Linked DNA regions of Bombyx mori. The protein of the gene in region 1 purifies or fractionates together with the protein of each later gene. This does not show direct contact. Links are inferred from orthologs where the notes say so. Each region holds a gene or a part of one and is shown in the gene's direction. Other genes may lie near its edges.

Region 1 (6,158 bases):
GCTAAAGGAAAATAAAGAATTAAGAACATCCAAATCACATCTAAAAGATGGAACTGACTCTTTACGGAAAACAAAACTAGCATTAAAAGACCCAATCGAATCATTAGGAAAGTTAAAACTAGCTGAAACATACCCTGAGAAGGGAATGGGCTTAATAGATAAAGCCAAGGTAGAAAAGCAAGCTGAATTCTTTGAAACTGTGTTTGATATTACACCTCCACTGCCTGAGGATATTGAAGATATTGATGCCGGAGACAACAACAGCCCTTTGCTAATGTCTATGTATATCAAGGACATTTACAAATACTTGACTGAATTGGAAGAGAAATATTCTATTGAGCCTGATCATTTAAAAAAGCAGGTAAACTGTCGTTCTCATATATTTAATACTTTTTTGTAAATTTCTACCTGGTTGGTTTATCATTACGTATGTTGTTTATTATATTTAGAAAAAAAAGAAAAGAAAATTTGAATTGGTACTAGAAATAATTGAAAACTTTTAGACTATAATAATATAGGATTATAATGAATATAGTTAATAATAATATGCGACAGCTGCCTTGAGCATTAATAAAGTTTTGTCATAAAATTTATTTATACAGTCTTATTACTCTCTCTATTAGTAGTAATTTGCTGTAATGTTTCCTTGTGCTTCAATAATCTGGTTGGCACTATTTGTTGCGTTTATATCAGCCTGTCCATTATGGCCATGAAGCAATAATGTGTTCCAGTCTGATTTTGTAATTTAAGACTATAATGGTGGGTAGCTGAGTCTGATCTGAGTTGAATGAACCAATTCTGTTGAACATTAAATGATGTAAGAAGGCTATGTAAGTAAAACTAATGAATGATAAGTATTGTACATATTTTTTAGAGTAAAGTAATCTAAAGTAATTGAAATCTTAGGAACATTGAATGCAACAATAAATTTGAGCCTAAGGCATGCCTTTTTGCAATAGGTTTTGAAACATGTATTTTTTTTATTTCAGACTGTTATAACTGGCAAAATGAGAGCAACACTCATTGATTGGCTTGTGGAAGTTCAACGCCAATTCTCATTAGTATTGGAGACATTCCATCTCACTGTTGGCATTATTGACAGATATTTGCAGGTATAGTGATCTAAGTAGTATGTGCAGCATAAAAGCAAACCATCTGGTTTAATGGGGGGAATACTTGTTTTCCTATGACTATTCTGTGGGAATTGAAATACCATATCATCCTTAAGACTAAATTCAGTCTTAAATGTATTACCTGCTGGCTCTACTCTTCAAGTCAGAATATGTGATTACAACAGAACTACTGTCCCATAGTATTGATCTTTGTTAGCTCAGAATAGCCATTATCACCAGATAGATTGAATATTAGGATTAAAGGGTGAGAAGTTAAGAAACTTGAGTTTTTTATTATTATTGCTTATCTGGGTGGGCAAGCTCACAGCCCACCGGGTGTTAACTGGTTACCGGAGCCCATAGACATCTACAACGTATATGCACCACCCACCTTGAGGTATAAGTTCTAAGGTCTCAGTATAGTTACTACAGCTGCCCCATCCTTCAAATCAAACCCATTACTGCTTCAGGCGGAAATAGGCAAGATGGTGGTACCAACCCGTGCAGATTTACAAAAGGTCCTACCACCAGTAATTACGCAAAATATAATCTTGCGGGTTTGATTTTTATTATAAGATGTTATTCCTTCACCGTGGAAGTCAATCATGAACATTGGTTAAGTACGTGTTTCATTAGAAAAATTGGTTCCCACCTACGGAATTCGAACATCGTTGCATCGTTAGATACGATGCACCGGACGTCTTATTCTTTAGGCCACGAGGACTTCAAAAGAGTATTATTATCATGTAAGTAACAAAAAATGACCAAATATTAAACATTACTGCTTTGTACAGGTTGTTCCAAATGTCCAGCGCAATCAATTACAATTAGTCGGTGTGACGGCTATGTTCATAGCAAGCAAGTATGAAGAGATCTACGCTCCAGATGTTGGCGATTTTGTTTATGTCACTGATAATGCCTACACCAAGTCTGATGTATTCCGCTGTGAGAGAGACATTATGTGCAAACTGGGCTTCTGTCTTGCGAGACCGATACCTTTGAGTTTTCTTAGAAGGTATTGTGATTGTCTTTTTTTTATTTCTATATTGATGTATTGAGCATCTTATAATATGAAAACGAATTCCATCCTTCTCCTGATTTAGGCAACTTTGTCCTAATTGAATAGTAGAACCTTTGGACTAAGTGCATTGAAGAATTGGTGGTAGCAGTGGTAGGTTGCAGATGGTAGTAGAAAACAAACAATAAATCTGAAATATGTAATTTAAAACTTTTTTTTAACAGAATTAATTTGTTTGGAAAAATAGTGGTATAATCGTAATGTTACGTTAAGTCATCATAAAGAGAAAAGACGTCGGGTGCATTCTCATAAAGCAATGAAACTATGCCATTGTTACGAATCTGTAGGCAGGTGTCAATTAAGGCAAATCAAGTAAATACGTACTTAACACAGGCTCCTATGTGCGCAAACGATTTTTACAATAGCGTCCACTTCGATTAAGAGGCACGACACGAGAACCCTCTCACCGTGGCCGCCGGTAACTACATTCCCGATCCTGCGGAAAGAATGGAAAGCAGTCGACGTCGCCCAAAACACGTCATTTCGGATCCTCCCGATCCACTAACGGTGCTTTTAGGTACTTTAAGCATCGGTCACCGTTCTCGTCGAACCCGTCGCTTGCGACGAAGGGCTCGACGAGTAAATTAACCCTCAGACACAGCCCACTGAGTTTCTCGCCGGATCTTCTCAGGGTCGCGTTTCCGATCCGGTGGTAGATTCTGCGAAGCACGGCTCTTGCTAGGGTTCGTGTTAGCAACTTCGTCAGGTTTGAGCCCCGTGAGCTCTCACCTACTAGTTAAGGTTCCGCTGGAATGGCCTCTCAAGGCTACCAGCTTAAGTAGGAAAAAAAATAAAACAATTCGTTCCAGTTTGAATCATGGGTGTGCTTTTAATAGTGCCTTTGAGACTTCAACCTCTTGTTTTAGTCGGAATCATGGTGTTCTATGGGCTCTGGTAACTAACTACCTAATACTAAGTGAATAATGGGTTCGTTTATACCTAAAAACAAATTTCTTTATACATAAATTAAGACTTTAACACCACTTCAGGAAAGGACCTCATGATATATCAATTTTTCAAAATTTTAAATTGTTAGGTCCACTTGCATAAAATTTTTATTTTCTGCAAGACAGTCATCGTATTATTTGAAATGTAAGTAATGCAGTCAAAAACTTGTTTATATATGAGGCCGTCAGCGCAAAAGTGGCCTAAGCTTACCATAGTTAGTATGGAGAAAATGAAGTTCGAATTTACCTTTACAATACTCCGTAGGCAAAAAAAATATGCGCTAAAATGATGTTTCCAAAAGGCATCTATGGATGAAACTAAGGATAAGCCGATTTTGCATCAAAATTTATTATGTTTTAAATAAATTGCAATACATAAGCACGAATATGAATTATGGGTTAGGCCACTTTTGCGCTGACGTGTTATTGATAATTTTTATGTTATTCTAGATTTGTAAAAGCCGCACGTGGTACATCGAGGAATCATCATTTGGCCAAATACTTTGTTGATCTCTGTCTAGTCGAATATACTATGGCCCATTATCGACCGTCAGAACTAGCAGCGGCAGCAATCTGCCTCTCACTTCATTTGCTATCGAGCAAGACACTCTCCGAAGTATGGACGTCTACCTTGTCTTACTACTCTGGGTACGATCTTGACCACATAGATCCGATTATAAGGAAAATCGCAAAGATTGTTATTAACATTGAAAATTCCAAATATAAAGCCGTATATAACAAATATTTGGACACGACGTTGGCTAAAGTTTCCAGTCTTCCGCAGTTGAAAAGCGAAGCGATTTATGAACTCGCAAAGATATCAAGCCCAAGCCCTTAGATTAAATTCAATTACCAAAATATGTAGGAATATAGAAATAATATGGACATGTGTGTACTTTTCTGATTTGTAATGTTAATTTAATGGACTGAGTTTTATATTAAGCTTGTTTTAAGGTACCTGCTTTGTTTATGTTTTAAATTTAGATATAATTTAGTTTTTAGATAAAATATATGATGACTGTGAGTGCTGATAGAATTGTATTGACATGGATATTATTTGTATTTATGTATTTATATCTGAAAGTGGACTACATTTTACATAACTTGAACCTTTTGTTATTTATATTATAAAAAAAATCACTTCAGGTTTTTAGTAGTTTCTTTATTTGTATAGTGTTTTCATTATGGTAAAGATTTTTGTCCGAGAGGATGATTTTAAATTACGACTTGTATACAAACTAGACATGACGTCGACTTATTCACTATATTGAATATTCTGATCAATATTCACATGCTGCATGCTTCTTAATATTTTCAAAATTAATATAGTTTCTAGAGATTGGGTTGTATGATTTAACTATTTCCTTAACTGTTTTTGTTCTTTTGTTTTTCTTAACGAAAATGAGGTAAAAACGTGACTCGCTGCCCGCGTATTTTAAGACATGAATCGAACAATGTGTTGGGTGGTATTTTGATATAATATTGAAAGTGTTCTTGTGTTTAAATATGATATTTTAGAATGTAATTTTTAGACCTGTGATTAGATTTAACGGTGTCGTTTGTTGATAAATAAAAAAATGATGTACAAATAAACTGTTTTATTGCGACTAGTTTGTTAATTAAAAACCTATGAACGCTACGGGGACATGAGAACCCTCTCATCGTAGCCGCTGGAAACTACATACCCTACCCAGTAGACCGAATGGTAAACCGTCGACGTCGCCCAAAGCACGTCATTACGGATCCTCCTGATCCATTAACGGTGCTTTTAGGCACTACATGCACCGGTCACCATCCTCATCGAACTCGTCGCTTGCGACGAAGGGCTCGACGAGCGAACTAACCCATAGACACAGCCCACTGAGTTTCTCGTCGGATCTTCTCAGTGGGTCGTGTTTCCGATTCGGTGGTAGATTCTGCGAAGCACTGCTCTTGCTAGGGTCAGTGCATAGATTATACACTTAAGGTCAGTGTTAGCAACTCTCCGGTTGAGCCCCGTGAGCTCACCTACAAACGTTAGGGTGAAGCTAAAATAGCCTCTCAAGGCTATCAGCATAGGTAGGAAAAAAAAAATTAACGCTACGCTATTTAATTAATAGTACCTACCTATTTGCTGCATTAACAGAACTTCTGGTAGATTAAATTGGAATGTGCAAAGTAAATTATTTCATACTACCGACCCGCCCGCGCTTTGTTTCGGGAACTGTAATTTATTATTGATCTTATTGAATTTTCTATTATTCATCTTTCGTGATATCGCGCACTCGGTTGTTTATACTCATTATTTTTATTTATTTTTTTATATTAGAGAATTCGTTACTGGTAGTTCAGTAGAGTAGAGTTACTGGTGGCCCGGAGGCCTTTCCAGTTTTACCAGGACAGGTGGGCGAGCAGAGGCTCAGTCAGGAGGGGTGGGGTTTGTTAACAGCTGCTCGAGCGCCTCGAAACGAGACCTAACTCCTCAAAGAGTAGCTGTTTCGCGAATGAGTCTACTACCGGATCGGAATCGCGACCCGCTGAGAAGATCCGGCGAGAAACTCAGCGGGCTGATGCTTAGGTTAGGTTGGCCGAGTTCGAGGACCACGGTTACCGGGGTCCCTACTCCTAGTGTTAAAGCTAATGCAAGGGTTATTGGAACTGATGGATCCGTAAGGACGTATCTAGGGCGTCGACGGTGACTGGATCCTGCGTGATCAGGATTCGGGGAGTAGTCAGCGGCGGCACCAATAAGGCGATTATCATGACGCATAGCCTTATCGAAGTACCGTTCCGACGCTGACTTCATGTATTTCTGGATAGATTCGAGGCCCAGGTCGTCGTGTAGGTCAACGTTCCTCACGAACCACGGAGCTCCGACGGCTAGCCTTTATAAGTGGGATTGTAGAGATTGGAGGGTGTTCTGTGTGTGCGGGCCGCGTGAGTGAACACCACACTTGCGTAAGTCTTGACGGGCTTTATGCAAGTTTTGTAAAGTGTCACCTTGTTCCGAAAGGACATTTTACTCCGCTCCGGTAGAGTCTG
Region 2 (5,913 bases), on another chromosome or scaffold:
GAGGCCTCAAATAGTTTTCATTATTCAAGAATTCGCATTTCATTAATCAAGAATCGAACAGGGAATTACGTCTGTACGAACTACGCCCAACACGATTCCTCTTAAGCCAGGCTGAATATTCTTCCAGCAGTACATGCTACTTAAAATTTTTTTAAAAAACTCACCCTTCCTATCACGAGAACATTGGTTACCAGCACAAACCGCCACATTGTCCACACGGGCTGACATTAGTGAATAATATCGAATTATCAACTCCATCGCCTATATTATATTCATATTGATAAAAATACATGTGTAATGTCACGCTTGGCCGTACATACGTGATTTGAAAATATGCTGAGCTAAACAGTATATAGTTTATCAATTTAACGTTATCTAGATTATTGACCCACAAGTTAAAGTATGTAATATAAATCGCCGTGTTCTATTGTAAATAATATAGTGCATATTATTGATTCTCAGAAATTTGACTGCATGATGTTAATGCGTTTTAGCGGTAGGCAGTGGCTTGGCTCTGCCCCTGGCATTGCTGAAGTCCATGGGCGACGGTAACCACTCACCATCAGGTGGGCCGTATGCTCGTCTGCCTACAAGGGCAATAAAGAAAAACTTTAAATAAATGGGTTCAACGTACAATGGGCATTGTCAGAGTATTTTAATGCTTTTATTAACAGCATTTCGTGATTGTGTACCGGTCTTTATGCATTGCTTGTATTTTATGACATAGAGCCGGTACGGGAGTTTCCACCATATTACTTGTTTCTGCTGCAAAACAATAATGCGCTCAAGGGCAAAAGTTTACATAGAGTTCAATTGAGAAACAGATTAAATTATCTGTAGAATTTGAGTATGATGAATTGCTCTCATTACCTCTCTCTGGCCGAAATCTTGGACCTTATTTTACCTTAACCCTTAAACTTTAAGGGTTAAATCAGACGGCATTTTAATAAAAGCAGTCGCGATCGGGAATCGAATAAAATTAAATCCGATATCAGTCTGGAAATACCAAAATCGGTTCAAATTTGTAGGTACCTAAAACAATTATACGACTAGCATTTTTAGAATTCAAAACAATAAAAGATTCTCATTTATTACTTTAAAGTACAGACTGTCGCTACAATAATGGCGGATATGAATGAAACACGGATATCGAGCAACGATTATTGGATATTTTGAAATCAGACTACCTAGTTAAGATATAAAATGTTATGCGATCCAATAAAAACATAAAACACGTTTGAGGTCTTAAAATGAGAGAAATGAGAAAAAAACGCGTTTATCGCGGATATAAAACAAGCTATAGCAAAAAAAATCTAAGCCTAATGTGATGCCTCGAAAAAAAGATCGATTGTGACTATTTATGACCTTAAATCAGATTGAAAACCATAAACAGTTATATTTAGTTAAGCTTTGTTTTCCACACATTAGGGTACCAACAGATTCATTTCTAGTGTTGCACGACGAAAACTACTGTAAAAATAATGTATCGTTGCTTTCCTGTGTAACTCTTAACAAAATAAATAAATTAATTAAACTAATATTTATATTTTACTTTGAAATGATTCAGTTTGCATTATTTAAAATAGACTAATGCTTACAACGTATGTATGTACGTCTTGCTTTTCAAATTAATCTCTCTTTGTTTGTCTATGATAATGTGTTCCGATACCATTCATAAAACATCAAGCTTTTTGATATGCATTTTTAGTGTTCTAGTACTATCTCATTCTAGCAACAACAATTTTGTCTATTGAAGTAGCACATTTATGCTATTCTAAGCGTTATTTAACTCTGAAACAAGTTAGTCATAAACAAAGCATAGACACATAAATTGACATAAATAGTCCACTTCGAAAATTTTCAAAAAGTTTTCGTTTGAAAGACGTTGAAGGGATAAACGTTAGAGATTGTAAAATAGTAAAACATTTAAAATATTTCCTAAAAAGAACAGAAGTGACTTGAATTAAGGATTACAGTCAAATGTTGAGACATTTATGAATTTAAAACACATAAAAATTATTAAAACACGCATTTTGTAGGAGTAAGAAAAATTGCATGGTGTTGTGATTTTTTTGTTGTGGTCTGCATAAAACCGCCAAAATTCCTTACTACAAGATGGATGATTTCTTAAAGATAGAAAAGATCGGCGAAGGTACTTACGGTGTCGTTTACAAAGGAAAAAACAAAATAACTGGTCAATTTGTAGCCATGAAAAAAATTCGCTTGGAGTCCGAAGACGAAGGCATACCATCCACGGCAATAAGGTAAACGACGTAAAATTGAATGAATTACTTGCACAAAAACAATTATATTAATTAAAAACACATTCTCATGCATTTGAGAACATAACCTATATTAACCAGAACTTCTTGAAAACATTTCAGAGAAATATCTCTACTTAAAGAACTGAACCACCCTAATATTGTCAAGTTGGAGGATGTCCTGATGGAAGAGTCGCGACTTTACTTAATCTTCGAATTCCTCTCTATGGACTTGAAGAAATATATGGACTCCCTTGGTTCTGGAAAGGTAACATAACCATGCCTTAAATTAAATTTTACAACAAACTATGACGCCTGTTTGAAGTGTGTCCACAATCATATAAATTGTAGTACAATGCTTAAAATATAAAAAATTGTTAATTAGGACTAGTTGCATCTTTGGAGTTTTTATTTCTGAAAAAAAAAAACTTTTTTGTTTAAATAAACTGCGAAGGTCTCCTGAGATAATGCGTCAGCAGTTGACCATGGCTGGGATTTGCCTCTAGAATTGCTGATTTCCGCAAGACCTAGATACAACTCACCATCAGGTGGGCCATCTATAAATGCAATAAATAAGTCACACAAGACAAGGCAAAGTAATTCTTAATGTTAAATTTTGTAACAGAGTAAATTTTTGTAAAAATATTGGTTATCATTATTTATTTTCAGTTCATGGACCCATCTGTAGTTAAGAGCTATCTATATCAAATCAACAATGCCATCTTGTACTGTCACCAACGACGGATCCTGCATCGAGATCTCAAACCACAGAACCTACTCATCGACAAGACTGGAATCATTAAAGTGAGAGTATTTTATGGTGATATTAATAATTGCAAAAAGATATTAAAAAGTGCTAAACAGTGAGTCTTGGGACCAGCAAGAACCCTCTCGATAATTCTAGACTACTGACAGCCTTTTTATCGTTTTAAAAAAAGTTGTAAATCAAAACCAGTAACATGAAACTATGGACGCTATATAGACCATGTATATTGGTGTTGATACTGACTGAACAGTGTCAGTGCTATTACTATAGGTCAATGTGAAGGCCTTTTTTTTCTACCTAACCTGATAGCCTTGAGAGGCTATATCAGCGTAACCTTAACTAATAGGTGAGCTCACGGGGCTCAAACCTGATGACGTTGCTAACACGAACCCTAGCAAGAGCCGTGCTTCGCAGAATCTACCACTGGATCAGAAACGCGACCCACTGAGAAGATCCGGCGAGAAACTCAGTGGGCTGTGTCTGAGGGTTAATTTACTCGTCGAGCCCTTCGTCGCAAGCGACGGGTTCGACGAGAACGATGATCGGTGCTTGAGGTACCTAAAAGTACTGTTAGTGGATCGGGAGGATCCGAAATGACGTGTGTGAAGGCCATGTCATAGTATATTTGTTCAAAATATAGTTTTACCAGTTTGAAAAGTCAAACACTGACATTAGACAATGGTCATATAGTTTTATTTTCTTCATAAATACCTAATAAATTTGTGACAGGTTGCAGATTTTGGTCTTGGTCGAGCATTCGGTGTTCCAGTGCGGGTCTACACACATGAAGTTGTCACATTGTGGTACAGGGCTCCTGAGGTCTTACTAGGAAGTCAAAGGTAAAATCTTATCCAAATCAGTCAAAACCAGCCACTACAAACTCCAATATAACTTTTCTATAATGAGTAATCAATACACATTAGTTGTAATTTGGCCCAATAATGAAATGTATTTTAGAAAAAACATTTTGTTTTAAGAGCTTTAGACTTTGTTTTCTAAAAAATGGCAAGTTGCATTGTAAATTCATAGAATAGTGTGGCAATACATTGCCACTAATTGTTTCTTAATACAAAAGAATGGTCAGTGACCGTGTGGAGTTCATTATTTGGTAGATTATTTATTTATTTATTATTTATTTTGTATAATAGTAACTTGTCTTACTTTTAGATACTCTTGTCCAATTGATATATGGTCAGTTGGCTGTATATTCTCTGAGATGTCATCAAAGAAGCCACTGTTTCAAGGAGACTCTGAAATTGATCAACTCTTCCGCATTTTCAGGTGAGTAGGCATTTCGCCATTTTAGTGGTAGGCTTTGGCTATGTATTTCTGAGGTCCATGAGCAACGGTGACCACTTACTGTGATGCTTGTCTGCCTTAGATTTATTAGAGTTAAATCTTAACAACAATAATTGAAAAAAAAAAGTTTTTTATGCTCCCTTCAACAATGGAATGTAACTGGTGCTTAGAATAAAACTCTAGTTTTGGATTAAAACACAGATTGAACACTAACTAAAATATGATGTGGACATTCAAGTTTTGGTTGTTTTTTTTGGGTGTGCAATTACTACAACAACACTTATATAACAGTTAATAAATTTTAAAAAAACCTGTTGTTGGGGTAATTAAATTATAATAATACTATTTCAACTTGATTGAGTGATTTCCTTCCAATAAAAGAATGAATATAATGAAATGTTTGACTTACATTTACAGGGCAGTAAATATGATTATAAATATGTAATTTTGAAGTATGTAGAAAGAAATAGAAGACTAGTTTACATATTGTTAGCCTCTAAAACTTCTGTTTATCCATTCCATTCCCGGATGTACCTCCACTTTCTTGCGACCTTGCTTATACCTGATATTAGCTTAAATAAAACAAACTATATGTGTAAATTCAAATCAATAAAGTGTGAAATTCTGAACAGATAGATTTGCTCCATGCATAATTTCCAATGAAATGGAGATACATGAATGAACTAAACTTCTAATATGGGATTTGTGACTCCCAATTTTTTTTGAGTTAATTTTTCTGACTCATTTTCCAATTTCGTTTATGATCAATGTATATGGTATCTGCTGGAGTACACTTTTTCTTATTAGTAACTATTTAAATCACAAGATCTCTTAATTTATTAACAGAATGCTAAGAACGCCAACAGAAGAGATATGGCCTGGTGTTTCTCTCCTACCAGACTACAAGCCAACCTTCCCGAACTGGAACACGTACAATCTGCACAATCATGTACGTATGAAGCATATTTTATTTTAGATTTTTATATGTCTATTGTTCTTGAGATATTTCCAGATATATGAAAAACTAATTGAATTCTATTACATAATGAGTGACACTACTCCAGCTAGCCAAGATATTCCCTTGGGATTTTAGTGAAAGTTTATTTTAGCAGAACCAGCTGTTAAAAGTTTTGTGTGTGTGTGTGTGTGTGTGTTGTATAATGTTTTTTTAATATATTTATTCTGGACTTTGATGTCCTGTTTCTGTCGTGAAGCACTTATGCGTTCCAGTTTGTAAGATGGGACAGCTCTTATGTGATTTATATTGAAACTTCGACCTCATATCAAAACTATCTTTCTTCACTTTCTTTATCGCTCAGACTTGTGATTGAGCATGTGGCCCACCTATAATAACGGTAACGGAATCTAATAAACAGCATTTATTCATGTCATTAACGACACAAATGCCGCCACCCATCTTGGAACATAAGTTCTGAGTCCCAGTTTTACAGTACAATAGTTGTCTCGTCATTCAAACCAGAATACGTTACTGCTCGTGCGGACTTACAAGACTCCCCAACACCATTTAAGCTATATTATATTATACTAGTTATTATCAATGACGTGACTGAGTTAAATCTTTTCTTC

What was found.
Region 2: the proteins of cyclin B homolog (region 1) and Cdc2 purify together in Drosophila melanogaster (affinity purification with western blotting; 8 studies listed by BioGRID, with this or other methods). This does not show direct contact. The link is inferred for Bombyx mori from reciprocal best matches to the Drosophila melanogaster genes CycB and Cdk1.

The regions. Positions count from the first base shown.
Region 1 is NC_085111.1:8,674,083-8,680,240, reverse strand, and holds the end of cyclin B homolog, read left to right. Parts: coding exon 1-361; intron 362-989; coding exon 990-1,112; intron 1,113-1,906; coding exon 1,907-2,127; intron 2,128-3,587; coding exon 3,588-3,975; 3' UTR 3,976-4,723; downstream 4,724-6,158. UniProt on the Drosophila melanogaster protein: Essential for the control of the cell cycle at the G2/M (mitosis) transition.
Region 2 is NC_085122.1:10,046,229-10,052,141, reverse strand, and holds the start of Cdc2 (cell division cycle 2), read left to right. Parts: upstream 1-2,104; 5' UTR 2,105-2,115; coding exon 2,116-2,264; intron 2,265-2,384; coding exon 2,385-2,529; intron 2,530-2,930; coding exon 2,931-3,065; intron 3,066-3,756; coding exon 3,757-3,866; intron 3,867-4,194; coding exon 4,195-4,308; intron 4,309-5,172; coding exon 5,173-5,275; intron 5,276-5,913. Other genes in the region: uncharacterized protein LOC110385314, read right to left, coding at 165-209. UniProt on the Drosophila melanogaster protein: Plays a key role in the control of the eukaryotic cell cycle. Required for entry into S-phase and mitosis.